Elephas maximus indicus: one gene and its partners. The protein of the gene in region 1 purifies or fractionates together with the protein of each later gene. This does not show direct contact. Links are inferred from orthologs where the notes say so. Each region holds a gene or a part of one and is shown on either strand. Other genes may lie near its edges.

What was found.
Region 2: the proteins of CD81 (region 1) and ITGB1 purify together in Homo sapiens (affinity purification with western blotting; 4 studies listed by BioGRID and IntAct, with this or other methods). This does not show direct contact. The link is inferred for Elephas maximus indicus from reciprocal best matches to the Homo sapiens genes CD81 and ITGB1.
Region 3: the proteins of CD81 (region 1) and CD46 purify together in Homo sapiens (co-immunoprecipitation; 3 studies listed by BioGRID and IntAct, with this or other methods). This does not show direct contact. The link is inferred for Elephas maximus indicus from reciprocal best matches to the Homo sapiens genes CD81 and CD46.
Region 4: the proteins of CD81 (region 1) and PTGFRN purify together in Homo sapiens (co-immunoprecipitation; 7 studies listed by BioGRID and IntAct, with this or other methods). This does not show direct contact. The link is inferred for Elephas maximus indicus from reciprocal best matches to the Homo sapiens genes CD81 and PTGFRN.

The regions. Positions count from the first base shown.
Region 1 is NC_064825.1:135,506,742-135,513,890, forward strand, and holds the start of CD81 (CD81 antigen), read right to left. Parts: upstream 3,011-7,149; 5' UTR 2,787-3,010; coding exon 2,721-2,786; intron 2,146-2,720; exon of another isoform or gene 441-2,145; coding exon of another isoform or gene 1-440. Other genes in the region: uncharacterized protein LOC126081186, read right to left, coding at 1-440. UniProt on the Homo sapiens protein: Structural component of specialized membrane microdomains known as tetraspanin-enriched microdomains (TERMs), which act as platforms for receptor clustering and signaling.
Region 2 is NC_064822.1:6,452,876-6,460,261, forward strand, and holds the start of ITGB1 (integrin beta-1), read right to left. Parts: upstream 3,016-7,386; coding exon 2,949-3,015; intron 2,045-2,948; coding exon 1,959-2,044; intron 1-1,958.
Region 3 is NC_064836.1:17,663,018-17,669,926, reverse strand, and holds the start of CD46 (membrane cofactor protein), read right to left. Parts: upstream 3,011-6,909; 5' UTR 2,875-3,010; coding exon 2,751-2,874; intron 1-2,750. UniProt on the Homo sapiens protein: Acts as a cofactor for complement factor I, a serine protease which protects autologous cells against complement-mediated injury by cleaving C3b and C4b deposited on host tissue.
Region 4 is NC_064821.1:163,065,921-163,073,508, forward strand, and holds the start of PTGFRN (prostaglandin F2 receptor negative regulator), read right to left. Parts: upstream 3,017-7,588; 5' UTR 2,742-3,016; coding exon 2,693-2,741; intron 1-2,692. UniProt on the Homo sapiens protein: Inhibits the binding of prostaglandin F2-alpha (PGF2-alpha) to its specific FP receptor, by decreasing the receptor number rather than the affinity constant. Functional coupling with the prostaglandin F2-alpha receptor seems to occur.

The DNA of each region.
Region 1 (7,149 bases):
TGGGAAAGCACGGACGTGGGGTGCAGGCAGTTGACAGCGCGTGGATACAGGGGTGCAGGTGGGTGGGAAAGCACGGATGTGTGGTGCAGGCAGTTGACAGCACATGGATACAGGGGTGCAGGCTGGTGGGATGTAACAGATGTGGGGTGCAGGCGGGCAGGTCTTTCTGCAGCAGCAAAGGAGAAGCATGCCAGTCCTTTATCTGCCTCCCCCCGTGTGGGAACTTCTCTGGAAAAGGACCTCAGCCGCTTTTCCTGGCCCCCCACGACCCTAGTGCTCCCGGAACGCTGACCCACTAGGCAGTCAGAACCACTCACCTGCAGGGCGCTTCCTAGACTGATGGGAAGGCTCTCCCTTGCCATAGTCCCTGCCGGGCCACCATGCCCAGACCCGTCTCCCAAGCCCGCTCCGTTCCAAGCCCCTCGCTCAGCACTTATCATATTAGTTAATCCCCCAACAAACCCCGGTGGGGGTCCCTGGGACCTCACTCTAGAGGGTGAGGCAGCCGAGGAACAGACCCCGCCCAGGCTGACTCTGAGGAGCCCACCCTTGGCTTTGATGCAGAGGACTCGGGGGGGCGGGGTGCAGGGCACTCAGGGTGGTGTTGGCAGGGTGGGGGGGTGACTGTGGGCCGACACAGCTCTCAATGCTCTGAGGGAGTGGAGCAGCTAGGAGCCTTGGAAAGTCTCCTTGAGTCACAACAAAGAAAGAAGGGCACCCGCTGCCTGGGAAACCACCACACTCACCCAGGCCACGATCCTGGGGCAGGCCTGTCTGGGGATCAGCCACAGAGGGGCTTATCCAGGGTGATGCCCAGCCTGGCCCACTCCCCTCAGACTCCCCAGGAACAAAAACCCACTTCTGAGAAGCCCCCTCCTCTGCCTACCCTTTCCTTCCCTACCAGGGTCATAGTCCGGCTCACACAGGGGCCAGCTGAGGGGCATAAGGGCCTCAGTTTACCCATCGCCCACTACCCTGGACCACTGCTGGTTCCTACAAGGCTCCTGGGGCCGTCCTGGGCAGGGTAAGCACAAGCAGCCTCACTGCTCCCCGCCCTGGGGAGAGGCCCTGGGCTCCAGGAACCCCAGGGTACCCTCCCGAGGTCAGCTCCCGGCCCCAGCAGGCTGGATGTGACCCTCACTCCCAGCTGGGAGTGAGTCCAGCCTCTGCCCTCCCCTGCGCCCCTCCCAAATACCTCCCTGAAGCAAACCCACGCCAGCCAGCCAGACAGACGGGAAGCCGATGTCTCAGCCCAGTCTGCTCCAGGGGCCGTTTTACAACTTTACTGCCCCTGCCTGGTGGCGCAGTGGTTAAGTGCTACAGCTGCTAACCAAAAGCTCAGCAGCTTGAATCCACCAGGTCCTCCTTGGAAACTCTATGAGGCAGTTCTACTCTGTCCTATAGGGTGGCTATGAGTCAGAATCACCTTGACGGCACTGGGTTTGGTTTCCTTTGGTCACTGCCTGAGCTTGAGAATCACAGTTCACCCGGGACACTGTCCCGCCATAAGGGTGGGTCAGACTGGGACGGCAAAGCAGCTAGAAAGGGTACCAGAGAGGTGTCACTGCCAAGGAGAATGTCCGAGGGTAGAATGGAGCTCCTGGCACGCACCCACAGACCTTCCAGTCCAGCAAGGAATCTCCACCTCCTCCCCAATTCCAAGACTGGCCAGAAATGGAAACAAAGAAAAAGACACAACCGGTCACTCCCCAGCAGTTACCACGAAGATCAGGAGAAGGCTGCTCTGGGGCAGGGAGAGGACCCGGGAGACCCTCCACACCGGGGCTGCAGTCCAGTGACCATGGGGGCCACCCTTCCCGAAGTGGAGATCCCAGCCAGCACTCGGCACCGACGCCGGGGATCAAGCCCCGAGCTTGGAGCCGCCAGGTCTTTCGGATACCCCCTGCCCTGTGCCAACTCTTATGGCCAGGCCCACGCCTCTCAAAGCTTCCCAGCCCCTGGAATCCAAGTGTGTGGTGGGGGCTGGGGTGCGCGGGGTCGGCGCCCTAGAGCTGGGCCAAGACGGTGCGGGCCCCCTACACACGGGCATGCCCGGGCCAGTGCGCTTCCGGTCAGCCCTCTGCCGGGGCCGACCCGAGACTTAGGAGGGGGACTGCGGAGAGGAGGATGGACTGGGCTAGGGGCGGAGCGCGATGCCGGCCCCCAGGGCTCCTACCCAGCAAGCGCTCCCTCCCCACCACCCATTTAGAGGCGGCGGCCCGATGAGCTCATGGGGCGGAGCGCCAGGAGCCCCGCCCCCGAACCCCCCTTCCGTCCGGCGCGGCAGGGTGGCCCCGGCTCCCGCCCCGAGCGGGGCCGTCCCCGGGTGAAGACGGCCCGGACCCCTCCCCTATGGGTTGCCGGCTCCAACCGCCCAGGTCGCCAGCACAGCGGCCCCCAAGCCCTGGGGCTTTGAGTCCCGGACGCCCAAAGGCTGGCGCCCTGAAACCCGGCCCTCGGCCCGGCCCGCCGTTAGGGGGCGCAGTGGCCCCGAGCGACCCCCTCGCCGCGGCCTACCGACCCCGGGCCCCCACCCGCCCCGACGCCGACAGGTGTCTGCAACTTGGCGGCCCGCAGCGGCGGCCCCGCGGGCTGCGCCCTTTGGCCAGGCCTACCGAGGCTCCCGGGCCTGCGGGGTTGGCGCGCACCCCGGTCCCCGGCCCACCGCGCCCCGGCCCCCCGCGCCCCAACCTCCTGCGCCCCGGCCCCTAGCCGCTCACCCAGAAGACGAAATTGAAGACGAAGAGCAGGTACTTGATGCACTTGGTGCAGCCCTCCACCCCCATGGCGGCGCGGCTGGCGGCCTGCGGGCGCTGACGGCGGTGCGGCGGGGGCTGGGCGGTCGGCGAGGGCCTGGCGGGCGCGGGGCGCGGGGCGCGGGTCGGGGCGCGGGGCGCACTAGGCGCGGAGGCACGGGGCCTGGGGGCTCGGGGGCGTTGGGAAGCCTGGCCGGGTGCGCGCTGGGGTCGTCTCCGCCGCCGCTGCGCGCTCGCTCGCTCTCTGGCCGGGCGCGCGCCCCGCGCCGCGCCGCTTATAGGACACCGTGGCCCCGCCCCAGCCCCGCCCCCGCGGGTCCAGCTCCGGGCCCCTCCGCCAGGCCTCGCCCCCCCGCGCCCCGCCGCCGGAGCCCGATCCCCGCCCCGCCGCGCTGCGTGCCCCGGGGCCTGCGCGGTGCTGTCTGCCTGGGCGCCCCTGGAAGGGCGGCGGGGCGGGAGCGCACGCTGGGTCGCGTCCCCGGCCACTCCCCCGTCCCTTGCACGCAGACCTCGGGGTTTCAGACCTCGGTGCGGCGGATAGGCGCCGCCGAGCCGTTGTTCCCTCCGAGCCCCGGGGGACCGCTGCCAGGCTGCGCCTGAGGACAGGCATGCAACGTCCGCCGAAGAGCGCAGCCGGGGGCCTGGGGAGGACCCTTCCCATCCTGGCGCCTTGGACAATCGAGGAAGGCTCCGAGAAGGAGGTGATGGCGACTATGCACAGAGCGCAGCGCTCTTAGTTCACAATCGCTTTCGGGGCCGGACCCGGGGTGGGCGGTGAGGCCCGAGTCAGTGGGTCGCCGGCCGGAAGGGCCAAAACGCCACACTTTTAGGCTGCCACGCGTTTGCCCCTTACAAAGTGGAGTTGCAGACAGCTGTTAGGGGAGTCTTTCTTTGAAAGGTTACTCACGTATCTAGGAGGCCCGAGCGACCTGTGGGAGAACCCCCAAGTGTTTTGAGGTTCATGTCCATCCTGGGTGGTATGGATACCCCTCAGGGGTGCCAGCCCCGCACTTCCCGCTGCGTCCCTGGAGGCGCGGGGCCAACCCCTGCTTCTTGCTTTGGGCTATTGCAGAAATGGAGGGATGACTCAGGGAGCCAGGGATGCTTCCTCCCCAGGTCGCGCGCGCGGTAGGTGACACCAGATGAAGTTCTCACGGGTCTACACCAGGAAACCCGTGGTGAGGGCAGTGGGGCCAGGCCTGGAGAAGCAGACCTCACTGTGCCTCCCCCTGCCACGCGCGCCGGCAGTCGGTTCATTTCACCGAACACCATCCATCACAGCGCTGCCCGTAGAACTTTCCGGATGATGGTGGTGTTCCGTATCTGCGGTAACCCAGGATATGTGACTCCTGAGCACTTGAAACGTGGCGAGTGCAACCGAGGAACTGAATTTTAAATTGCATTTAATTGTAAGTTTAAATAGCCAGGGATGCCCAGTGGCTGCCGCATCCCTCCACAGAGCCGCTCTCTCTTGTTGCTTGCCGTCCTAAGACCTTTCCAGTTCTCTTGGTAAAAAACGAATTTGTTTTGGCTTCGTGCTTATATAAGAGCTACCAGGACAAAGAGGTCATACTTTTATGTTTGTGCATAGCTAAGTGATACTGTACTAAAAGTATCTAAACCTTCACCAGGGCTTACTAGGATTTTTTTCATTTAAAGGAGACAGAACAGGCCTCAAGTGTAAGGAAACCCATCTAGAAGGCCTGGGCACCCTTATCTTCCATCAGCTTCCCGTGGTCCCCAGGGGACATTTCCTGTCAAAGAGGTGGGCTTCGTCCTTAGCAGAAGGCCCTCCCGAGGCCTCTGAGGAAGGAAGCATAGGAGACATTGACCCTCCCTCCCCTCAGGAAAGGGAGTGACAGCACTGTGCCTACTGCCCCGGGCCCACTATGCCCCAAGCAGGTTGTCTTTGGCCAGCTCCTCTCTCCTCTCCAGCCATGTATCACATGTTTAGTGGGGGCCTGCTGTGTGCCAGGCCATGTGCCAGCACTGGCTGTGGACAGACGGGCAGCCAGGACCCCTTCCCTCAAGGACCAGAGGCCCTGGTGCCAGAGACAGCTGTCCCCTTCACTGACCTTGTCAGTGCTGGTGGGGGGGGGGGGATAGCAGGGAATCCCCAGGTGCTTGGTGGAGGCTTAAGGGGGCACCAGTATGGGGCCTGCAGTTGGAATGAGCCAACCATGCAGAACATGGGGGCGGAGGGAGAGGGACAGAAATTAGGTCAGTGGTCTGGAGTAGAGGGAGTGAGGGGAAGAGGGCTAGAAGCAGTGGTTGGGGCAGATAGGTGACATCCGGACCTGGCAGAAGGCCAGGGTGGGGCTGCCTTCGATTCTGACCTGTAGTGGGAGCGATTAGGGGTTCCGGTGGGAGAGTCACATGCCTGGCATTCTCTGAGATCAATTGGATGGACATGTGTGGCAGCCAGCTGGGAGGCCCAAAGAAGGCGGCTGGGCCCACAGTGGAGCCTATGCTCAGGACACCTGGCCTCACGGGGAAAGGGCTACGCGATGGAAGCGGCCACCTTGTGGTCCTGGCACACTGTGGCTTTCCCGGAGGAACCAACCACCTCCTGTCCTTGCCAAGTGGCTCAAGTGCCCTGACCAGTGGCCCACCAGCTTGACCAGTGTCTTAGTTATCAGTTGTTGTTGTTGTTAGGTGCCCTCCAGTAGGTTCTGACTCATAGTGACCCTTGAGCCCATTGTTGCAGCCACTGTGTCACTCCATCTCCTTGAGGGTCTTCCTCTTTTCCGATGACCCTCTACTTTACCAAACATGATGTCCTTCTCCAGGGACTGGTCTCTCCTGGTAACATGTCCAAAGTACGTGAGAAAAAGCCTTGCCATTCTCGCTTCCAAGGCGCACTCTGGCTGTACTTCTTCCAAGACAGACTTGTTCGTTCTTCTGGCAGTCCATGGTGTATTCAATATTCTTCACCAACACCATAACGCAAAGGCATCAATCCTTCTTCGGTCTTCCTTAATCATTGTCCAGCTTTTGCATTCAAATCAGGTGGTTGAAAATATCATGGCTTGGGTCAGGTGCACCTTAGTCCTCACAGTGACACCGTAGAGACCTCTTTTGCAGCAGCAGTTTGCCCAACGCAATACATCGCTTGATTTCCTGACTGCTGCTTCTGTGGTTGTTGATTGTGGATCCAAGTAAAATGAAATCCTTAACAACCTCAATCTTTTCTCCATTTATCATGATGTTGCTTATTGGTGCCGTTGTGAGAATTTTTGATTTGTGTTGCGGCGTAATCGATACCGAAGGCTGTGGTCTCTGATCTTCATCAGTAAGTGCTTCGAGTCCTCTTTTCAACAACCAAGGTTGTGTCATCTGCATATCCCAGGTTATTAGTGAGTCTTCCTCCAATTCCGATACCCCATTCTTCTTCATGTAGTCCAGCTTCTCGAATGATTTGCTCAGCATACAGACTGAATAAGTGAAAGAATACAACCCTGACGCACACCTTTCCTGACTGTAAACCACGCAGTATCTCCTTGTTCTGTTTGAACGACTGCCCCTTGGTCTATGCAGGTTCCTCATGAGCACAATTAAGCGCTTTGAAATTCCCATTCTTCCCAGGGTTATCTGTAATCAGTCACGGTGCACACAACTGAATGCCTGTGCGTAGCCAATAACTTAAAGATGTAAACTATAAACTCTAAAGCAACCCCCAAAATAAGAAAGCAAAGAGTTATAGTTAATGTTAGGGATTGAATTGTGTCCCCAAAACAAGTGTTGTAAATCCTAACCTGTGTGCCTGTGGGTATAATCCCATTTGGGAATGGGTTGTCTTTGTTACGTTAATGAGAAAGGATTAGTGTAGGGTGTGTCTTGAGTCAATATCTTACAAGATATAAGAAGAGCAAATTACAGAAGCAAGCAGAGATGGGAGAAGAGAAATGCTGAGCAACATGAAGACTGCCCAGGAGCAGAAGCTCAGAAGAGACAAGGACTTTCCTCCACAGCCGACAGAGAGATAAAGCCTTCCCCCAGAACCACACCCTGAATTCAGACTTCTAGCTTCCAAAATGTCAGGAAATACGTTTGTTTGTTAAAGCCATCCACTTGTGGTAAAACAAGATCCATCTCGACGCTACCCTCAAGAAACACACTTCAAATGTAAAGACACAAATATGATAAAAATAAGAGGATGCTATGGTGGGAGCTTCCGAAATGGCCGCAATTATCCTGGTATTTATGCTCAAGGCTGGGAAGAGCTTGGGGTGGTTGAGGCGTTTGCCTCAGTCGTGAAATTTAAGCAGGCATCAAAAAACTGCGTAATCGAGATAAGTAATACTTTTTTTTATAGTTTATTTTTTGTTGTGGTTGAGAATATACACAGCAGAACACATACCAGTTCAAGGATTTCTACATGTAAAATTTGGTG
Region 2 (7,386 bases), on another chromosome or scaffold:
ATGGCCACTAATTATATGCCCAAATATTAATATTTTTCCCAAAATGTCCCTTTGAAAAATCCTTATAAAGTCTCTCATATTGCACTCTTTATTTACAATATTATGAACAAGCCAATGTGTACGGAAAACACTTTAGCCTGAAAGCACATTACTAATGATGGTATTTTTAAAAGGAAACCAAAAAATGTAATACAGATTTTATTTCAGTAAGTATTCTCCTGGAATAGCATTGCCTATTACCATAAACAAGCATTTTAAGATTTATTTTGAAAAGCAATAGAGCCAAATAATTATAAGGCAAGGGTCGTGAACATATTTCCACAGGGTGATTTTAAAAAAAAAAAAGTCTTAATGGTATACAAGTGAATGGATACTTATGGCTTGGAGGCAGAATTTCAGTAATGACAGGAATTCAAAACGTGCTCTACTTCAAACTGAGATAAAAGCAAAAACGTTATCAGATGACTCAAAAAGTACCTTCATGAAAACAAAAGCACAGATGTAAAAGACATACGTAAAGGTTTTAAATAAAACGTTATCATGAAATTCGAGAGTGGGAAAAAAATGACATTAGTATTTATGTGTGTATACATGTATGTCATTTTAAAATATGTAAATATAAATCATAAAAGTATTATCAATAAATTATTATAAGTAGACATTTGACAACTATGTCACATATATCCCTAAAAATTATTTATTTAGTAGGCCAAAAACTTTTTCTAATGTTGACTTGGGGGAAATGGAGGATTGCCATTTATTTGGGATCACATTGTGTTCAGTCAAACATGGTGTTTATTACCTACCAGTTTCACAGTGCTGTATAAAGTAAGTATATTTAAATTAAAAAAAAATTTTTTTTTTAAGGGAAACAAACACTGATAAGAGCACATATGAAATTAGAGAAATAAATGGAAAGGAAAACCAAGGGCCAGATGGTTCAAACCCACGCTATCATCAAACCTAAGATACTACACCAAAGGAAACTAGTAAATTACACATTCCCAAATATGTGCCAATACAGGAAACTTTAAGATTATAATCAACACCTAAATAAAATTCCACTAAACATACTCCAAAATAGCATTCAATAATTTAAAAATTATGCCTCAAAGCATCAAAGGCTTAGTTATTTAGAGAATAACAGTGAATAAAATTCAAACCCTACCGTCACTGAGTTTATATTAGGATACAATCAATTCTGTGTTAGTTTACATCAAATATAATTGTGCAAGTTCATTTGTACCTTCCCCCCTCAAAAAAGGAGAAAAATCTATAGCAGTCTAAACCTAAAGGCCTAGTGTTTTACGGGAAGCAGTCCAATAAAAATATAATGCCAACCAAATGGACAAGCCACAGAAGTTAATGTAAAATTTTCTAGTAGTCACACTAAAAAGAAACAAGGGAAATTCACTTTAATAATGGATCTAAAGTATTATCATTTCAACACGTAATCACCTTAACAAAATTTAGTGAGCATTTTTATACTAAGTCTTCGAAATCTGGTATGTATTTGAGCCTTACAACATTCTTAGTGTAGACCATCCACACTTCAAGTGCTCACTAGACACATGTGACTGGTGGCTGCCAGGCTCAACACACAGCTCTAGACCACCACAGTCTTTCACACGTTAAAAAAACCCATTGCTGTCGAGTTGACCCCGACTCATGGTGACCCTATAGGACACAGAAGAACTGCCCACAGGGCTTCCAAAGCTGTCATCTTTACGGAAGCCGCCTACCACATCTTTCTCCTGCAGAGTAGCTGGTAGGTTTGAACCACCAACTTCTCAGCAGCTAAGGGCTTAATCACTGTACCACCAGAGCCTTATACTTTACACACAGATAACACTTATTCATTAAAGATTGTTTTAAATGAAAATTCCTATCTGCTACGTCCCAAGGACGTACTAAATTACTAGAGAAAACATAGTAAAGACTCAAACAATCTTACTTACTAAATTTGTACACCATCCACAATTTGGCCCTGCTTGTATACATTCTCCACATGATTTTGCATTTGCTTTTAAACATCTATTTTCATCTGTCAGGAAAAGAAATAACAGACACCTTTACTTGAAGCTTCAAGAGAGAAAATAATGAAAAATCAGGATCGCAAGGACAAACAATGCACCATATATGATTATCGAGTATGAAGCCTACAAGCCTAGTTACCAAGCTGATCCAGACCTACTCCCCAGAATGGGTGGGTCAGAGCAACTTTAAAGGGGTGATGATCACTGTCTGGGGACACTGGTAGAATCCTTCTTTCACTCAACACATATTTATTTGAAGCCTTTTTATGTGCCAGACATTATTCCAAGCACTGAGGATACAGCAGTAAAGAAAACTAACAGAAGTCTCTACCCTCGTGGAGCTTACAGTCTAGCAGGGGAGACAGACAAATAAACAAGATAAATAAGACACACTGCATGTTAGAAAGAGATAAATGGTAAGGAGAAAAAACAAAGCAGGGAAAGGGAAGTATGGGGAGGGGCAATCGACTATAAATACGATCGCCAGGGAAGGCCTGATTGAGAAGCTAACATTTGAGTCATGAGCTGAAGGAGGGACAGAATCATACAGATATCTGAGAGATCACCGCTTCAGGCTGAAGAGACACCCAAGGCCAAGGCTCTAAGCAAAAGGATGCCTGGTGCCTCTGAGCGAAAGCAAGGAAAGCCCAGGAGAAAATAAGAAAAGCCCAGGAGAGAATGAGAAATAAGGTGAGAGACCGGGTGGCAGCAGTTGCTGGCGGAGCCAGGCCGTGCAGGACCTTGTATGCCATTTTAAGGACTCTGCGTTTTACTCTGAGTGCGATGGGGCCAGTGTAGGGCTTTCAGAAGGAGCAGCATGATCTGACCTAGGTTTTCCCTGGAATATACTTGGTCAAAGAATGAGACAGGATACTGAAAACACAGCTATGAAACATTTTTTTTTTTTTTTACCTGTTTGGCTAAACACATAGCAAATTGAGCTAATCAGTCCAATCCAGAAAATCAGTTGTAAATTCATCTGAAATACAAAATGCACATCATTAATAAAACAAGATACATTAAATACAAAATGTTCCCAGCCACCCTGCCTGTTGATTTTATAAATATAATCTCTCTCAATACCTTCTTCTCCAGCACCCCTCCACAACCTCATCACCCACCTCCCCCGCCCAGCCCACTACCCTACCTGTTACCTACACAACTAAAATAACTTCCATAAGTCTCTGGGCTCCGTTCCTGCCTCTCTCCAGTCAAATATGTTTTAACATTTTATTAGCCACACTCCGAAAGAATAATAGTGTCAAGTATTCCCTAACACCATAAACGCCATCCAAGGTCTCGTCCCAGATAATCTCTATTATCTCCTGCAGCTCCCAGGGAGCCAGACAGGCATATCCAGACTCCTCAGTCGCTCCAAGGCTGAGTGCCAGCTTGAGTGAACTTTTCAAAAACTCCATCATGTCATCCTCCTGCTTGTAACAACGGGGTTTATCAGTGTTTATAGTGTGCACTACACTATACATATATACACACATATACACACACATACATAGGTACACATATATGTGTGTGTGTGTGTATATATGGGTCATATATATGGTACAACGTATAGCGTTCAGCAGCGTTAAGACCAACATCCTACACAAGGCCCTGACTCAATTTTTGAATTTGATGGCTTTCTTTAAGAAAAATCAACTTCTGTGCATGGAATTAATTAGTCAAAGATTCGGTTCAAGTCCCTACATTTTCTAGATCCACAAACTAGACCCACGAAAAGTTCATAAAAGGACCCTGAATGTATCGAGTCCCTTTCAGAATCTCTAAAGAAAAATTAATAAGTCTATATAGTTTTGATTTAGTGATTTATATTTGATTCTGAATATTTGAAAATGGTGTAATCTATAATAGTAATAATCAGAATATTCTATCAAGCAGAATGCCCAACCATTACGTACACAACTCTTTTCTGTGAATTCAAGAGTTCACAATGTCAATAAGCTATGCTTTAGGAGATTTGGTCAGAGACGGCTCTAGCCCCTGGTTGCTGAAACTGTGGCTATCATCTGACTACTGCACTGGGACTAGCAGCCAGCCTGAGAATTTGTCATAAATATCTGTCCCTCCCACAAGAAAAAAATACAAGAAAGAAGCACATATATATATATATAGGTATATGTGTATGTGTATGTGTGGGATAGCAAAGGGTAAAATTTTAGCTTTACTAGTTACCAAAGAAATATAAAACAAAGCAATAAAAGATAAACTGCTGGAAAAAATGTTTTTTTTACCCATTAAAACCATCACTGCAGAGAAGGCTGAGAAAAATCAATATGCATGGCTGGCAGCTTTGTAAACATATAATTTGGGGGGAAATAATTCAACAACCTATATCAAAAACTATAAAAAATGTTTCTACCCCATGACTTAGCAATCCAGCTACTGAGGAAATAATTTAAAATACAAAAGATAATTAAAAAACAAAAAACAGGCTTTTTAGACTGGTCGAGACTGGAGGACTCCTTGAGACTACTGCCCAGAGATACTCTTCAAACCCTGAACCGAAACTAACCTCTGAGGTCACCTTGTAGCTAAGTAACAGATTGGCTCAAAAAATAGTGAATATCACCCGTAAGTAATATGCTCCTTTAAAAAACTCACCTGTATGAGACCAAACGGTCAACAACTACTTTAAAACAAAGATGAGAGTGTAAAAGGGCAGGGAAACTAGACTAATGGAAACAGAACCACCAGAATGGAAATATAATGAGAATGTTCACGCACTGTGAAGAATGTAACCAATGTCACTGAACAACATGTGTAGAAATTGTTGGATGGGAACCCAAACTGCTGTGTAAACCTTCACAAAAACACAATAAAATACGATTTATAAAAATACAAAAGGAGATATACACATACACCCACAGACACACGAATGTTCAATGTAGTACTATATGGTATATTTACAACAGGAAGAAATGGAAACATCCTATACCCAGTAACAGGGGAACAGCTAAGTGTATCAGCCTGATGAACTATTAGGCAATCATAAAAGTAATAAAACGCAGCATCATTAAAATAATAATTCTGGATGTAAAGTACACATTATGATGACAGCTATGTAAAAACAAAAGTATACAAACATATACTGCAACCACGGAGACCTGAGAATGACAAAGAATTATAAAAAAAAAACCAAACCCACTGCCATCCAGTCAATACCAACTCACAGCAACCCTATAGGACAGAGTAGAGCTGCCCCATATAGTTTCCAAGGAGCGGATGGTTGATTCAAACTGTGGACCTTCTGGTTAGCAGTCAAACTCTTAACCACTGTGCCACCAGAGTTTCCTATATACATAAAATGTATACGCAAAGTGTTTTTCTTGTTTTTAATTTTCTTTTTTTCTTCTCTTTGCTTTCTCAATGTAAATAATTATGGCCTGTGTGGTACTCTTTTTTTCTTGGTAAACTTCCCTTAGCAAGAAGAAGTTAACTGAATTCTACCTTAATTTAAAAAATGAGTATTTCTTTTAAAGGCCTCCATCTCAGGGGCACAAATACCAGGATGCTAGTTCCACAGCCACAGTCCTTTAAGTTGTGCTTCAGGGCACCCCTGGGGTACTTGCTTTCCTCTGTTAAATGCTGGTTTCCAGGGCACAAGAATGACTCGCATAGTCATCCACTTTGCAATCCTGAGCAGATCAGCCAGTCCTGTTAAGCCACAAGCTGACAATTTTGCTTACATTTCAGTGGTGACTCCATCCAAGAGACCAACAAAAGCTGAGTGTCACAAAAGTGAGAAATACCTAGCTATTAACCTTTTAAGGCCTGCCTAAAAGGTTTAAGATGCAATAAATCCATGTGGACTATAATTCTAGGCAATTCAGATGTTTTCAATTCCAAAGCTCTGACTGAAAGGACTAAAAAGACATGGAACGCTGAGGAAAGGCATCACCGTGATGAATGCAGCATCTGAACAGCTTCCACACAAAGTGAACAGAACAAACATCTGCTCCATGTATGGGCTGATGCATGCTTCTTTAGGATACTATTCAGGCTACTTTAATGAAACTAACCTGCCTTAAAAAACCCTTCACAATGTCATACAATTTAGAGAATTACCACTAAAATAAAGTTTTCAAATACTCTGAAGCTATCTAGCTTTAAAACGTTGCTTTAAATGCCATTGCCCTTTTCCTTCTATAAGCTTTGGCAAGTTGAAGATGGGCTCTGTGAAATGCTCATGCCTCTGGAAGAGCTCCAAACCCAGAAGCAGCAAGAAAAGGCCTTCGCGGTGAAGAACAGCTGAGAGTAACATGGAAAACAGCTGGGAACAGCTTAAGAGTTCAACTCTCTACTTTGGTCAGCTCACTGGCCAGAAACAGAGAGGCATTGTCACTGGCTGGTGTTGTCTATAAAAGGCCGGACTTTCTCTCAGGGAAATGGAGAAGCCACAGAAGACGGTAATTAGGAACAAAGAAGAACCATGGGACAATGAGGCTTGGAGGACACCACAGAAGTGGCCATGAGGGAAGCAAGCAGCAGACAGCCGGATGGTAAAAAAGAAATGACTAAGACGACAAAACAGCCTCCCCTAACGGATCCTGGTAATCTGCGAAGATACTGAATATTCCTCCTGCACCTGCGTGAGGAAGTGGAAGAAGAAGCAGGCGGTAACAGCCTCCTTATTTCGAAAGCGCCTAAGGAGGCACTTCTGGAAGTGTGGTCTAAGGAATAACTGCATCAGATTTACCCGGGAAGGAAGCCCACCTCAGACCTAAAAAATCACAATCCCTGCAGGTGCGGCCTGGAGTCCTGCACTTCTAGCACTCCTGGCAGTTCCTACGCTGAGAAACTATGCCCTAAGGAGTTCCCACAAATGGCGCTTCTCAACAACAGCTCATCTTGAGGGGCAAGAGGGAGAGACGCCTTTCCTGCTATTGTCCTAGTCCTGTCTTTCCTCTCCTCTTTATAACCAAAGGTCTGGAAATAGTTGCCTACATTGGTTGTCTCCACTTCCTAACCTCCTACTCACTCCTTCACCATCTATAATTGGTGTCCAATCTCTACCATGCATGTGAACCTGTTCTTGCAAATGAACACTTTCCAGGCTTTATCTCAAGCTCTGCATTTACTCCCTTCTTCAAAAGTTTCTTGACTGCCTACAATATACTTGGAATACATCCACCCACAGGATTTACACAAGACATTTAATACTATTCATCATTCTTTCTTCACATACTCTATTCCCTTAGGTTCTACCCGTCCCTCCCTCCCCGGCCCCCCATCTCTCTGGAAGTTCTTCCTCAGTCTACTTTGTCAGGTTTTGTGCCAGATCTGGAAAAACAAAGATCCCTGCTTCAAGAACTTTCAGTTCAGTTCAAAGACA
Region 3 (6,909 bases), on another chromosome or scaffold:
TATTCTTTTTTTCAAAAAATTCCTTGTTTTCTTCTCATCACCACTGCTTTTTAATGGTGAAGAAAAGGAACCCCCAACCAAAATGAACTTTTTAATGATCAGTGAGAAGGGAGACTGAAGTTCTGTGAGCTCTGGAAAGTCTACGTAAACAGGGAAGACAGATACTTTCTGACCCTAAGCCGCCCCTGCCGTACTACTTACACACCACAGAAAGGCCATCCTAAACATGGCTCTTTAAAGAACTTTCCTCCTGGAGAGCAGGAAGAATTAACTTCTTCCTGGGCTCTAAGCCCCTGTCAAATATATTTGCTGGTACTTAACAGCTACAAATCAAAAAAACCAAACCAGTTGCCATGGAGATGACCCCACCTCATGGTGACCTCATATGTGTGCAGAGTAGAACTGTGCCCCATAGGGTTTTCAAGGCTGTAACCTTTTGGAAGCGGATTGCCAGGCCTTTCTTCCGAGGTGCCTCTGCATGGGTTTGAACCACTAACCTTTTGGTTAGCAGTCATGCACTTAACTATTTGCACCAAAATTTGGGCCTTTAGCACCTTAAGTCTGACAAGACAAGATGTCTATCTTGTGGGGAGAGACAGAGAACATAAAAGATAGTTTTGGCAGGATGATCAAAAGTTAGCAGGTAGACGAATGTCTGTCTACCTCAGAGAGGGTGGTCAGAAAAGGCCTCTCTGAAGGGGGAACACCCCTGCTAGCTGGCAGGATAAGAAGGAGCTAATTATTTGGAGAGGCGGGAGAGTGTGCCAAGGCACAGGGAACAGCAAGTGCAGACACCCTAAAGCTGCAGAGCTTGGCCCATGTGCTGAGGAGAAAATCTGCTTCCAGTCATTTGTTAAATGCAATAGAGAATCGTGCTCCTTTCTTCCATAGCATTTCTTTTAGTTTATAATATATTCGTTAGCATGATGTTATGGATAATATCTACCAAAAAAAAAAAAACCACACCCGTTGCCATCCAGCTGATTCTGACTCATAGCGACCCTACAGTGACCCTACAGGACAGAGCAGAACTGCCCCACAGGGTTTCCACGGAGTGCCTCGTGGATTCAAACTGCCGACCTTTTGGTTTGCAGCCGTAGCTCTCAGCTGCTGCGCTACCAGGGCTCCGGATAATGTCTATCACCCTTTAAATTCTACTAATATTTAGTGATTGCCCACTATGTGCCTGGCACTGGGGCTATAACAGTGGACAAAACAAATAAGGGTGGAGAGAGTGGAGCGGTACCTTGAACCTCCAACCTTTCAGTTAGCAGCCTAGAGCAGTTAACCGTTTGCACTACTACAGACTTCTACATGTAACCGGATCCTAAAGATAACCTGGGCATAGAGACACAGGTGCACAGACTAGAAGGAACACACCAAAATATTAAAAAATAGCTGACCTTTGTGCAAGTTGCATACGATAGAAACACACACACACGTATTTTTTTTTTTTTTTACCATTTTTTAAGTACTTATCCCATTCAATAAAATATGAAACAAGCTTAGTGGGATAGACCCTCTGCTTTAGTTTATGAACTGTAGGGGCCACATTAACATTTCTTTCTTAGGACACTAATTTCTTACTAGGTTTGGCTACCAAGGTACCACGGCTTGCAAATATGCCCTCAAATATGGCACAATCTAATGAAAAGAAGGAAAACAATGCCCAAAAGCCGTTAGGTAATAGAATTAGAAACTGCTTTAAAAAAAAATTTTTTTTTTTTTATATTGGGTTTTTTTTTTTTTAGGAGCAGAAAGATGGCTCGGGGCGGGGGGGTGGGGGAAGAGCAAGCAGCAATCTGCCAAAGAAGAGCGCTCCTCTGCCGTGGACCAACACGGTCACCGGCAAGGAGCCTGTTTCCAGAAGGTTTAAAAAGCTAAGTTCCCTTTCCATCCCCCTAAACCTTGGCATCTAGTGCCTGCTCCGACCGCAAGCACAACAAGCACAATGTACCCTCCCCAACCCCACAGCTCGAACTCATTCATACAAAGCAAAACGAGCGTTTCCTGGCTCCACACTCGGTACCGCCAAGTAGGGCCCCCTCAACGTCCGCAAAGTACACTCTGCGCCAAAAGCGTACCTGGGCTCCGCCACCCCAGCCTTCAACGCGGATACTGCAGAGACCTTGGCAACACTCGAGACCCCAAGTCACCTCATACCAAGCCCTCACCGAAGCACGCCATCTGCTCCCCTTCCGGGTGAGCCTCAGTCCCAGAAACACCGCCCTGGCCCTTGCTGGCGGCACAGCACGGCTCCAGCCAACGGCGGCTGTGCCTCTCCGCCAGCACTCACAGCACAGCTAAGGAAACCCCCCAAAACCAAACCCACTGCTGTCCAGTCGATTCCGACTCATAGCGACCCTACAGGACAGAGCAGAACTGCCCCACAGAGTTTCCAAGGAGCGCCCGGTGGATTCGAACTGCGGACCTTTTGGTTAGCAACCGTAGCACCTAACCACTAGGCAACCAGGGTTTCCACAGCTAAGAAAGGTTCATTTAAATCACCGTAAACACGGCACAGCCGCTGTAAAAACACCTGCGGCGGCCACCACCTCCGCACCGCCCAGTTCCGTACTGCAACCAAGCCATGCAACTCATGGTCCCCCCAAATCCCGGCGCAGCGCGACCCCGGCGAACCTTGCCATGCCCTACACCATAAGATACACGACCCAGGTCAGCCGAGCGCGGGCCTCCTCGCCCGCCCAGCAGCCTTCCGGACTGCGCGCGCACCCTCGCCGGGGTCTTACCGGTGTGTTTAATTAGCAGGTGGAACACTACAGACATCAAAACCGCTCCCAAGGAGCACCAGGAAGTAAAGGGACTCTCGCGGCGGCAAGCAGGGGCCGTGGGCGGCGCGGCAGACACTGTCATTTTCCCGGTGATCCGGCGGAAACCCGAGAGCCTTCGGGGCAGAGAAACCCCCCAGAGCCTGGCTATCAGACGCAACAATCCTCAGCCTCACGAAGTAACAAGTACCCAACAGCAGGTGGGCGTGGCCCGGACCACGCCCCGGGCGGAAGTGACTTGTAGTACAGGAGCCAGGTGAGGCCAATCGGCGCCCTGGAAGGCGGGGCCAATCGGCGCCCTGGAGGGCGGGGCCAATCGGCGCGCTGGAGGGCGGGGCCAATCGGCGCGCTGGAAGGCGGGGCCTCGGTGCCCAGGCTTGCAGGCAGAAGGCGGCCGCCTAAGGGGCCGGAATAGATGGGTGTGGCCTGACTAACCCAAGGGGTTTTGAAAGTGGCCGCCAGCTCCCCTGGAATGGGGCGTGACTGCTCTTGCTACATCCGCTCTTCAGCGTTACAGCTGGGTGAACCGGGTTACCGCCCTGCCCAGGAAGGGCGGACGGGAAACTTGTTCCTTTACTGGGAACTGGGCATTGAAGAATAAAAGGCACTGGGCTAAAAATGGACACCAAGGGTGCAGGAAGTGGGTCACTGTGTATCTCAGTCATCTAGTGCTGCTATAACAGAAATACCACAAGTGGATGACTTTAACAGAGAAGTTTATTCTCTCACAGTCCAGTAGGCTACATGTCCGAATTCAGGGCGCTGGCTACTGGGGAAGGATTCCTCTCTCTCTGGGCTCCAGAGGAAGGTCCTTGTCATGGGTCTTCTCTGGGAGCTTCTTAGCAGGGGGAACCTCAGGTCCAAGGGATGCCCTGTGCTCTCCGTGCTGCTTTTTTGGTGGTATGAGGTCCCCAACTCTGCTTGCTTCCCTTTCTTTTCACCTCTTGAGAGATAAAAGGTGGTGCAGGCCACACCCCATGAAAACTCCCTTTACATTGGCTCAGGGATGTGACCTGGTAAGGGTGTTACAATCCCACCCTAATCCTCTCTAACATAAAATTACAATCACAAAATGGAGAATAATCACACAATACTGGGAATCATGGCCCTAACCAAGTCGATATACACGTTTTTGAGGGGACATAATTCAATCCATGACACTGTGGAACCAGCACCCCTCAGAGCCCCATTGTCCTGGGGCACTCCGGGTGGTCTGGACTACTTGCGTCTTTACCCAATATTTGGCATGAATCAGGCATGATTAAGGATCGTACTTGCTTAAGAAGTGCCTTCTGCTAAACCCTCTCAACACCTGCTGGTTTTCAAAATCACAAAGAGGGTTTGGCCACTGCACTCCCAACCCTGAGTGGAAATTGCTCTTCCTGGACTTCCTTCAGAGACCCCATGGGAAGGTGAATTGTTTAGAAACAGGACGATTAGCATATTGCACCTCAATTCTGTGTAGCTCTTGCTCTTGAGCAGCTGAATGTTTTATTGAAGGTGAAATGTACACTCATAAAAAATGTAAAGACAGGGTGTTTTAAGTGCCAAATTCCTAGAAGCAATGAATGCCTTAGGAGATGGGATGGGTTAAATGGAGTGGATCAGGAGGAGAACTTTTCTGGTGAGAGAATCTCTCCAACAACCCCTAAAAATTAAGAATGAGTAAGATTTATCAGTAGAGCTGCGAGTAAGCCTGTGTGACAACGTAAATAAATAAAAGTAACCTGACTGGTATTTTAAAAGCGGTCAAAAGAGTATAAAAACATCAGCCAGTGTTGGGCAAGGAGGGGCATCACTCCCTAACTTTTAGTGGAAAAACAAAACTTTGGAGGTCAGGTTAGCAGTACGTTAAAGGTCTTAAAATGGACATGACTTTTAAACCACAGTCTCACTTACCTAGTGCCGTCGAGTCAATTCCAACTCATAGTGACCCTATAGGACAGAGTAGAAGCGCCCCATAGAGTTTCCAAGGAGAGTCTGGCGGATTCGAACTGCCGACCCTTTGGTTAGCAGCTGTAGCACTTAGCTTATCCCAAAACATCAGCGCTGTGAGCAAAGATTTGTAATTTTGGAAAAAATGTAAGTGCTGAGGGTCTAGTAAGACCATTGAAGAATTTATGGTAGGTACTTTTATGTGATGAAATCCTATGTAGCAAGTGTTGTAAAAGATCACTCTGATATATCAGTATGTACATCATGACGTTCATTTTATTAAAACAAAAGCACCATATTAATGTGCTTAAAAGGAGACTAGTTGGAAACATACCAAAATTAACAGTAGTTGATAGGCTTATGGATATTTTGTTTTCTTTGTGCTTTCAGTTTTATAAGTTTTCCGCATTGATCCTATGTTACATTTGGTCAAAGGTTAGTTTTAAAACTCTAACCCATGTACCCAGTGATATTTTGTTAACAGAATGATGAGGATGGAACCTGTGTTACACAGGGATAAGGTATGAGAGGATGGTGAGGAAATGAAGGCCCTCTAGGAAGCTCGAATGGTCCTTCTGTAATTACTACAGTTTATATATATTTAACATAACTCTGTATCTGAGATGCACTGAAGATTTTCTGGGTTCACCAACCCATAGAATTTCCTTTTCCTGTGAAAATTTTGTGAATTCTTGACAAAGCATAGAAAACACTTAGTGTAGAGGTGGTATGCAAAGTAAACACCTTACTATCTTGGATTTTAAAATGCTGACGTTCCATGATGATACTTAAAGGAAGTAAACTTAAAATAAGGAAACAGTGAATAGGAAACTTAATGATGGGGAAATGTCATTTCTGTTAATGCTTACAGTTGTGAAAGTGATATGACAGAAACATTCTGTGACTCAATATTGCACTTATTTGTGAAAGCAGAAAATCTGTTTATTATTCTCTGCAACAATAAATACTAAAAATGTCCCATCTGGCTCTGCTGGTCTCACCCCATCTGGAGCAAGGGAGAATGAAGGAAACCAAAGACTCAGGTGAAAGATTAGCCCAGATGACTAATGGATCACAAATACTACAGCCTCTACCAGACTGAGTCTAGCACTACTAGATGGTGCCTGCCTACCACCACCCACTGCTCTAACAGGGATCACAGTGGAGGGTCCCAGACAGAGATGGAGAAAAATGTTGAACAAAATTCTAACTCACACACACACACAAAAAAAAAGACCAGACTTACTGGTCTAGCAAAGACCGCGGAAACCCAGAGAGTGTGGCCCCCAGACACCCTTTTAGCTCAGTACTGAAGTCACTCCTGAAGTTCACCCTTCAGCCAAAGATTAGATAGGCCCACAAAATAAAAGGAGACTAAAGGGGTACACCAGCCCAGGGGCAAGGACTAGAAGGCAGGAGGGGACAGGAAAGCCAGTAATAGGGAACCCAAGGTCGAGGAGGGGAGAAATGTTGACATGTCATGGTGTTGACAACCAATGTAACTAAACAATATGTGGACTAATTGTTTAATGAGAAGCTAGTTTGTTCTGTGAACCTTCATCTGAAGTACAATTTTAAGAAAAAGTCCTATCTGTTTTGAAGCTTAGAAGTAGGAGTTTTTTCACTTGAGAAAATTAAAAAGATAGGAGGAAAAAAAATGGCTAGTGTTCGGTTTCCTAGTTTCAGGTACTAAATTAGATTCAAGAATATTATCTTACAGGAACCTTTCAGACAATGAAATTTTCTATGCTTCGAGTTCATCAAGCCATTTTTCAGGTAATTGAAGACTTTCACATTTGATTTCTTACACTAATTTTTAAAAATAATTTTTATTGTGCTTTAAGTGAAAGTTTACAAATCAAGTCAGTCTGTCACATATAAACTTATATACACCTTACTATATACTCCCACTTACTCTCCCCCCAATGAGTCAGCCCGCTCCCTCCTTCCAGTCTCTCCTTTTGTGACCGTTTTTGCCAGTTTCTAACCCCCTGTACCCTCCCATCTTCCCTTTAGACAGGAGATGCCAACATAGTCACAAGTGTCCACCTGATACAAATAGCTCACTCCTCATCAGCATCTCTCTCCAAACCATTGTCCAATCCAATCCATGTCTGATGAATTGTCTTTGGCAACGGTTCCTGTCCTGGGCCAACAGAAGGTTTGGGGACCATGACCACTGGTA
Region 4 (7,588 bases), on another chromosome or scaffold:
GTTAGCCATTTTGTTATCTGTCCACCCTTCCCTCTGTCCACTCAGTAAGATGCCAAACATGCTCTAATGTGTGTTTTGGGCACTCAAGAAATACTGTATTGAATGAATGACAAGGCAGGTCAGACACAGGCAACAGAAGTTAAAACCTGCTCTATGAAGCTGAGCAGGTTCTGGCATGACTGTGGTAGTGGAAGTGGTTAGGAAAGACTCATGGAGGACATGAATTGCAGGGAAAAAAAGGAAATACAGAGCCAAAAGGAGAAAAGCAGGAGGGCCCATTCCAAGATTAAAAGAAAGGGGAAAGCTAGAAGGTTCAAATATGTCCTGTGTAAAGGACAGAAAAAGGTAACCTAGGATGAAGTTTCTCAGCGAGAGGGAAGACCAGGGGGAGAACATGGGGGGCAACACTTCCTTGGAAGAAAAACATAAGGAACCAATGAGCAAAGGTGGGATTCCCCAAACATGATCCTAAAGGACAATGATGAACTTAGAAAAACGGCTGGAGGAAAAAGCCAAGCAGGAAGATAACAGAAGTTATCTGTGTCAGGATCTGTCAGGATCTGGGCTAGGACAGTAACTGCAGCAACAGGAAGACAAGAGGGCACGTCGAGTCTGTCCGGTAGGAAAACCCATAGTACTGAGGGACTATGTGACCGTGAAGGCCAAAGAGAACAGTGATACCAAGATTCCGCTCAGGTTGCAATACAGGAGGAAAGATGATATTGCTTATCCTCATATTAAGTTTCAGGAATCAGTACAGTGCTAGAGTGGTGTAAAACAGGGAGTCTTTCCCAGAGGTCAGGCTGCAGGCACACCGGGCACACCGAGTGAGCTCCTGTGGGGCAGTTATTGTGTGGAACATCAAGTTCAGAGAACTGTTAGGGGAAAAGGTGTTGGCTGGTGACATCACAGAAATTCTCTCTGTGCAGCTAACATGAGACACACAGCCAGGGCGGAATTCACTGTGTACAACCAAGACATCCCAAGCTGTGCCTTCCCCACTTTTACTTTGTTTTTGCCGACCCCTCTTTGCCTCTTCTCCCTTTTTCTTCCTTCCCACAGTTACTCAGGGGCATTCTTTTCAAACTTCTACCTCCCCCCACCCTCTTAGCTAATGCACAGGCTGTAAACTGCCCAGCTCTAGGGGGAGTTGTCACATAAACCATGGAATGAATGGCAGCTCCTAGAGTTGTGCAGTGCACAATCTCACAACCACGGGCCATGGCCTACTTGACCTAGACACGGAAACCAAATGGGTGGGTGTGGAATCCATGTGCACCATGCTGAGAATATACATGTGTCCGTGGTGAAAGGGAAAGGCTAAAAGCACTAGGATCAGAGACCACAGACATGTCACAAAATTAAGCGAGAGATGTGGGAGCTTTCTGCACACAGGTTGCAGCTGAAGCAGTGGGGCTAGATGAGCTCTCCTAGGGAGTCAGCTTGAAAAATCCCCTCAGAGGTGAAGGAAGAAAACACAGCAGCAGCTAGACAGGCAGGGGTCACAGGGATTGGGACACGTGGGCCCTGGTGCCAGCAGGAGGGGAGTGGCTGTGAGAGGCCTCCACTGGGACCCTCTGGCCATAAGTGCAGAACATTTACCCTATGTGCAGCTGGGGCCTGGCTGGGGCGGCCGCCATACTCCATGCAGTCTGTGAAAGATTCAGATCTGTCTCCCCTAGAGATTGGAAGAGAACCTGTGGTCACTTCGGAGGATTCATTGACCAAAAGGATCCAGGATTATCCAAGCAGTTAAGGACCAGCCCTCATAAAAAAAAAAAAAAATAGTGGGCACTTAATAAATGCATGTATGTCTGTGGCAGGTTAAGATAACCATGTGTATCTATTATGAAGAGGTTTTTGTGTGTATGGAGTGTAAAATGGGGGGGGGGGAACCATGAAAGATCCCTTGGGTTGGTGACAGGGCGCTAGGCCAAATGGTCAAGAGGCACCAAGGGTTTCCGGGAAGGTGGAAGACAAGGGACAGAGAGAAAGGGAAAGTAACAGGTAAAAAAAAGTTGGGAAAGGCTCTTAGGTCTTTGTGTATAAATATGCTGCTTCAAGAAAAGCTAAGAAGAAATGACTGAAGCAGATTTAGTCATCACTAAAACGATGGAAAGACTCGCACCCCGCTTTTTATTGTAACACTCTGGGGCCCTGTGACCTTTGGAGAAAGAAGTTGGTGGATTCTCTCTCTTCTCTAGAAAGACACCTCGGCGTGGGTTTGTGTGAAGAGCAATTCTGTCCGTGGCGGCTATGGCGGGGCATATCAAAGATTCATATTTCCGCCCTTCAGCTGCGGACGCGGGCCGGATCGCAGGCACCTTCCGGGCCGGGAGTTCAAGGTGAGCCGGGCTCCCGGCGGCCAACAGGTAGGGAGGGCCGGGGGGGAAGCCAGCCACCGGCCACTCCCCACCCCGGCACATGTCGGGGAGAGGCTCGGCCTGGAGGCGCGGCGACCTGCCCACCGAGCGCGGGGCCGGGCGGATCTGCGCTTGGCTCCGGGCAGCCCCGCGGCCGCTGCCGCCCCCACCCCCCGGCCGCCCGCCCGCCGCAAGCCGGCCGGGCCTCCCGGGAGCGGCCCAGGGACCCCCGGCGGCCCAGGCCGCGCGTGGCAGCCGCGCCCCACCGATCCCCTCCCCCCGGGGCCCGGCAAGCCCCCGGCGCCACGCGGATCCCCGCGCGCACTCACCCAGTGCCAGGAGCGCCAGCAGCAGCGGCCTCGGCGGCAGGCGCCCCATGCTCGCCGGGCGGGAGCTACTCTCCCCCTCCTCCGCCTTCCCCGCCGCCTCTCCTCCTCGTCCTCCTCCAGCTCCGACTGCTCCAGAGTCAGCGCTCCTCCGCCTGGGCCGCGCGCCTGCTCCGCTCGCCTCTCGAGCCGATAAATCCCAGCGCTGGGGCGTACGTGCGCCCCTTTCTCCGCTCCCTCCCTCCCTCCTCCTTCCTTCTCTCCCCGGGCCGCCTGGGGACCGGGATCGCGGCACCCGAGCCGGCCCCGCCGATCCGAATGTGCAGCCCCGACCGCTTCCCGAAAGCAGAAGGGAAGAACCGCAGCGCCCGCCCGCCCGCGCCTCCCATCCGGCGCTTTGCCAGCAACAAACACAAACTTTCCCAAGCCCCTCCCCGCTCCAGGTAACGGAGGAAGCTCCGGGGCCACCAGCTTAAAGGGGAGGAAGCGTCGGATCCCACCCAGCTCTCCCCTCAGGGTCCCCACTCCACGATAAACTTTCCTCCGACCTTTAAAAGTTGGCCATGGCAAGACTTGTCTGGGAATCTCATCCCTTTTGCCCTATCCCGGGACACCCCGTCGTTGCACCACACTGGAGTAAGCCACGGAAGTCTACAAAGCCCTTAGGCTAACTCCTCACCCGGCTAACCCTCTCGTCCAAGCTAAGCACCCCACTATCCAGCCACATGGCCCTTACTGAGAATTTTCAGAAAGGATCCTGACACCACCGATGACTGCCCTGACAGGGAACACAACAAAGAACCCCTGAGGGAGCAGGAGAGCAGTGGGATGCAGACCCCAGATTTCGTAAAAAGACCAGACTTTATGGTCTGACTGAGACTAGACTGACCCCAGAGATTATGTTAGCCCAAGACAGGAATCATTCCTAAAGCTAACTCTTCAGACAGGGATTGGGCTGGACTATGGGATAGACAATGATACTGGTGAAGAGTGAGCATCGCGGATCAATTAGACACATGAGACTGTGTCGGCATCTCCTGTCTGGAGGGGAGATGAGAGGGCAGAGGGGGTCAGAAGGTGGCAGAATGGACAAGAAAAGAGAGAGTGGAGGGAAGGAGTGTGCTGTCTCATTAGGGGGAGAGCAATTAGGAGTGTATAGCAAGGTGTTAATAGTGGTTAAGTGCTACGCTGCTAACCAAAGGGTCGGCAGTTCGAATCCGCCAGGCGCTCCTTGGAAACTCTACGGGGCAGTTCTACCACATCCTTATAGGGTCGCTATGAGTCGGAATTGACCTGAGGGCACTGGGTTGGTTTGGAGCAAGGTGTTTATAAATTTTTGTACTAGAGTCTGACTTGACCTGTAAACTTTCACTTGAAGTACAATAAAAACTAAAAAAAAAAAAAAAGGATCTTGAAAGAGCTGAAAGGAGTTTAATGGCCATGGATTCCAACCCCCTTTATTTTAGAAGGAAGCACAGAAGCCTAAAGTGGTTAGGAGACAAGGATTCACAGCAAAGTGGCGAGACCAGAACCGACTCACCACTACCCTGTGTCTGGATGAGCCTTGCTGCCCTTGCTGCCTACTTCCCTCCCTCTCCAGGACAGTTATGGCACTCATTAGAGCAGCTTCCCACAAATACACTCGTTTTTTTCAAAACCCCAAGTATATTAATAGCCACAGTACTTCATATGGAATGCACTCTTAAGACTTTACATTTATTTCTTTAAATGGACAAAGTTGGTTGCCAATAGAGACTTCTTTTTCTCCTACAGTAGGGTTTTGTGCTTTTGATTTGAATACAAACAGCCCCAGAGTACTGGGAAATTAGTTAATGTGCATTGTTTAAAACTTCACAAGGATGATTCAAACTTACAGGGAGTTATACCCATGCCCCCTCCCACCCCCACAGCCTTTCATTAATATATGCAAATCCAAGCACAGATGTTAATGGGAAAACTGCCCAGTTTGGGGGAGGAGGGCACTGCTTTTATTCTGATGCATCGTTATTGCCATTAACAAGTACAGGGTTAGCTGGGTATGAACCCTCCTGAAAGAAGCTCCTAGAAACTCATTCCTGCTACCGAACCTTTGCTGAAGCTGTCCCCCCACCCTGTAATTTCTTTCCCCTTTCTATCCCAAGCTTTTCCCAGAATTTTTCTGGAAAGTTTTGAAATTTAATTGATTCAAACCTACCTAATGCTAGGTCTTGGAAGATGCTGAAGCTACAGAGAAGGGTAAGACCTGGTCCTCCCGAAGTTCAAGTGCCGGCTCATTCCTGTTCTTAACCACTCAGTGCTCAATGTCTGAGCCACACATTTTGGCACTTGGTTGCATTCAGTGCAGCACCGCATATAATCTACTACTCCCTTTTTGGGTTTCCCTAACCTAACCTAATCCGTTGCCGTCGAGTCGATTCCGACTCATAGTGACACTATAGGACAGAGTAGAACTGCCCCATAGAGTTTCCAAGGAGCACCTTTCGGATTCAAACTGCCTACCTTTTGGTTAGCAGCCCTAGCTCGTAACCACTAAGCCACCAGGGTTTGCACACTACTCCCATCTCTGTCTAATAACGGAAGGGCCTGGAGACTGTCAGACTCTCACCTTGTTACTGCAGAGTAGATGTTTGCTAAAATTCTTGTTTAACAAACAAGTGCAACTCTGGGAATGTGCCTGACACACAGTAGGTCTCCAACAAATTTTAACAGAGTGAATTAATGCCAGGCATTGGGCTAGACCCTAGGGATGCAGAGATGACTAATGTGCTTACAATCTGAGGGGAGATGTGTAAATAAAGAAGGGCATCATGACTTAGTGTGATAGAATGTACAAGGTAGAGCAGAGACACAAGGGAGTGATCGGTCCTGGGAAAGGTTGTCAGAAGAACTTTCAAAGAGGGGATGACTTTGAAATGAGTCCTCAAAGATCAGTACGTCTTTGCTGTGAGGTAGAGGGATGAGCTTGCAATGTTGTTCTTAGTTGCCATGGAGTCAGCTCTGACTCATGGTGAACCCACGTACAACAGAAGTAAGTGCTGCCTGGTCCCGCATCATCCTCATAATCGCCAGCATGCTCGAGTTCACTGTTGCCTTTCAGCCTAGTGGGCTCATCTTCCAGCACTATATCAGATAATATTCTGTTGTGAGCCATAGGGTTTTCATTGGTAATTATAGGAGATTGATTGCCAGGCCTTCCTTTCTACTCTGTCTTAGCCTGGAAACTCCACTGAAAGCTGCCCACCATGGGTGACCCTGATAGTATTTGAAATACCAGTGGCATAGCTGCCAGCATCATAGCAACAACACACAAGCCACCACAGTACAACCAACTGACAGACGGGTGGTGGGAGCTTACAGTGGATGCATATATTTCATATGACAGACTTTTTCCTCCTCCTCCAAGTTTTATAAAATTAATTGTGTGTTTCACAATCGTGAAATAACAGCAGTTAATAGTTGAAATGGGAGTCCCTGGGTTGTGCAAACAGTTAACATGCTTGGCTGCTAACCAAAAGGTTGGAGGGACCAGTCTACCCTTACGTGCTTCAGAAGAAAATCCTGGCTATCTACTTCCAAAAAATCAGCCATTGAAAACCCTATGGAGCAACCAAAGACACAAGGAAAACATTAGCCCAGAGACTAAAGGACCACATGAACTAGAGACTTTGTCAGCCCCTGACCAGAAGAACTGGCTACCACCAAAGGCTGCCCTGACAGGGAACACAACCGAGAGTCCTGGATGGAGTGGGAGAGAAGTGTGGAGCAAAACTCAAATTCACATAAAAAAAAAGCCAGCTTAATGGTCTGACAGAGACTGGAGGAACCCCTACAACTATGGCCACCGGATGCGCTGTTAACCCAGAACTGAAACTATTCCCAAAAGCCCACTCTTCAGGAAAACATTAGACAAGTCTGCAAAACAAAAAATAATACATGTGAGGAATGTGCTTCTTAGTTCAATCAGATACACGAGACCAAATGGGCAGCTCCTGTCCAGAGGCAGGATGAGAAGGCAGGAAGGGACAGGAACTGGTCAAATGGACACAGTGAACCCAGGGTAGAAAGGGAAGTATGCTGTCACATTGCGGGGTTTGCAACTAATGTCACAAAACAATATATGTATAAATTTTTGTATGAGAAATTAATTTGAACTGTAAACTTTCACCTAAAGTGCACACGCATACACATAAAACCTATGGGGCGCAGTTCTCCTGGACACATATGGGGTCACCATGAGTCAGAATCAACTCATTGGCAATTGGCATTAATTGAAGTAGTAAGAATAAATAAAAGTGTCCAGGGAGGGTGTTGGGATTGAATTATGTTCCCCAAAAATTATGTGTTGTGAATTCTAACTTTTATGGCTGTAGTTATAATCCCATTTGGGAATAGATTGACTTTGTAATGTTAACAGGAAAGAATTAGTATAGGGCGTGTCTTGAGTTGATCTCTTACAAAATATAAAAGGAGTAGATTAAGGTGGCAGATATGGGTGAAGATACATGACAAGCCACATGAAGATTGCCCAGGAGCAGAAGTTCAGAAGAGACAGGGACCTTCCTCCAGAGCCAACATAGAACCAGCACCATGAATTGGGACTTCTGACCTCTTAACTGTGAGAAAATAAATTTCTATTTGTTAAAGCCACCCACTTGTGGTATTTCTGTTATAACAGCACTAGATAACTAAGACAAAATTTGGTGCCAAGAGTGGGGTGCTGCTCTAACACATACCTAAAATGTGGAAGCGGTTTTGAAATTGGGTAATGGGTGGGGGCTGGAAGTTTAAAGTTCCTAATAGTAAATGCCTAGATTGCCTTGAAGAGACTATTGGTAGAATTATGGATATCAAAGGCGGTTCTGGTGAGAGCTCAGAAGGAAGTGAGAAGAGCTATAAAGA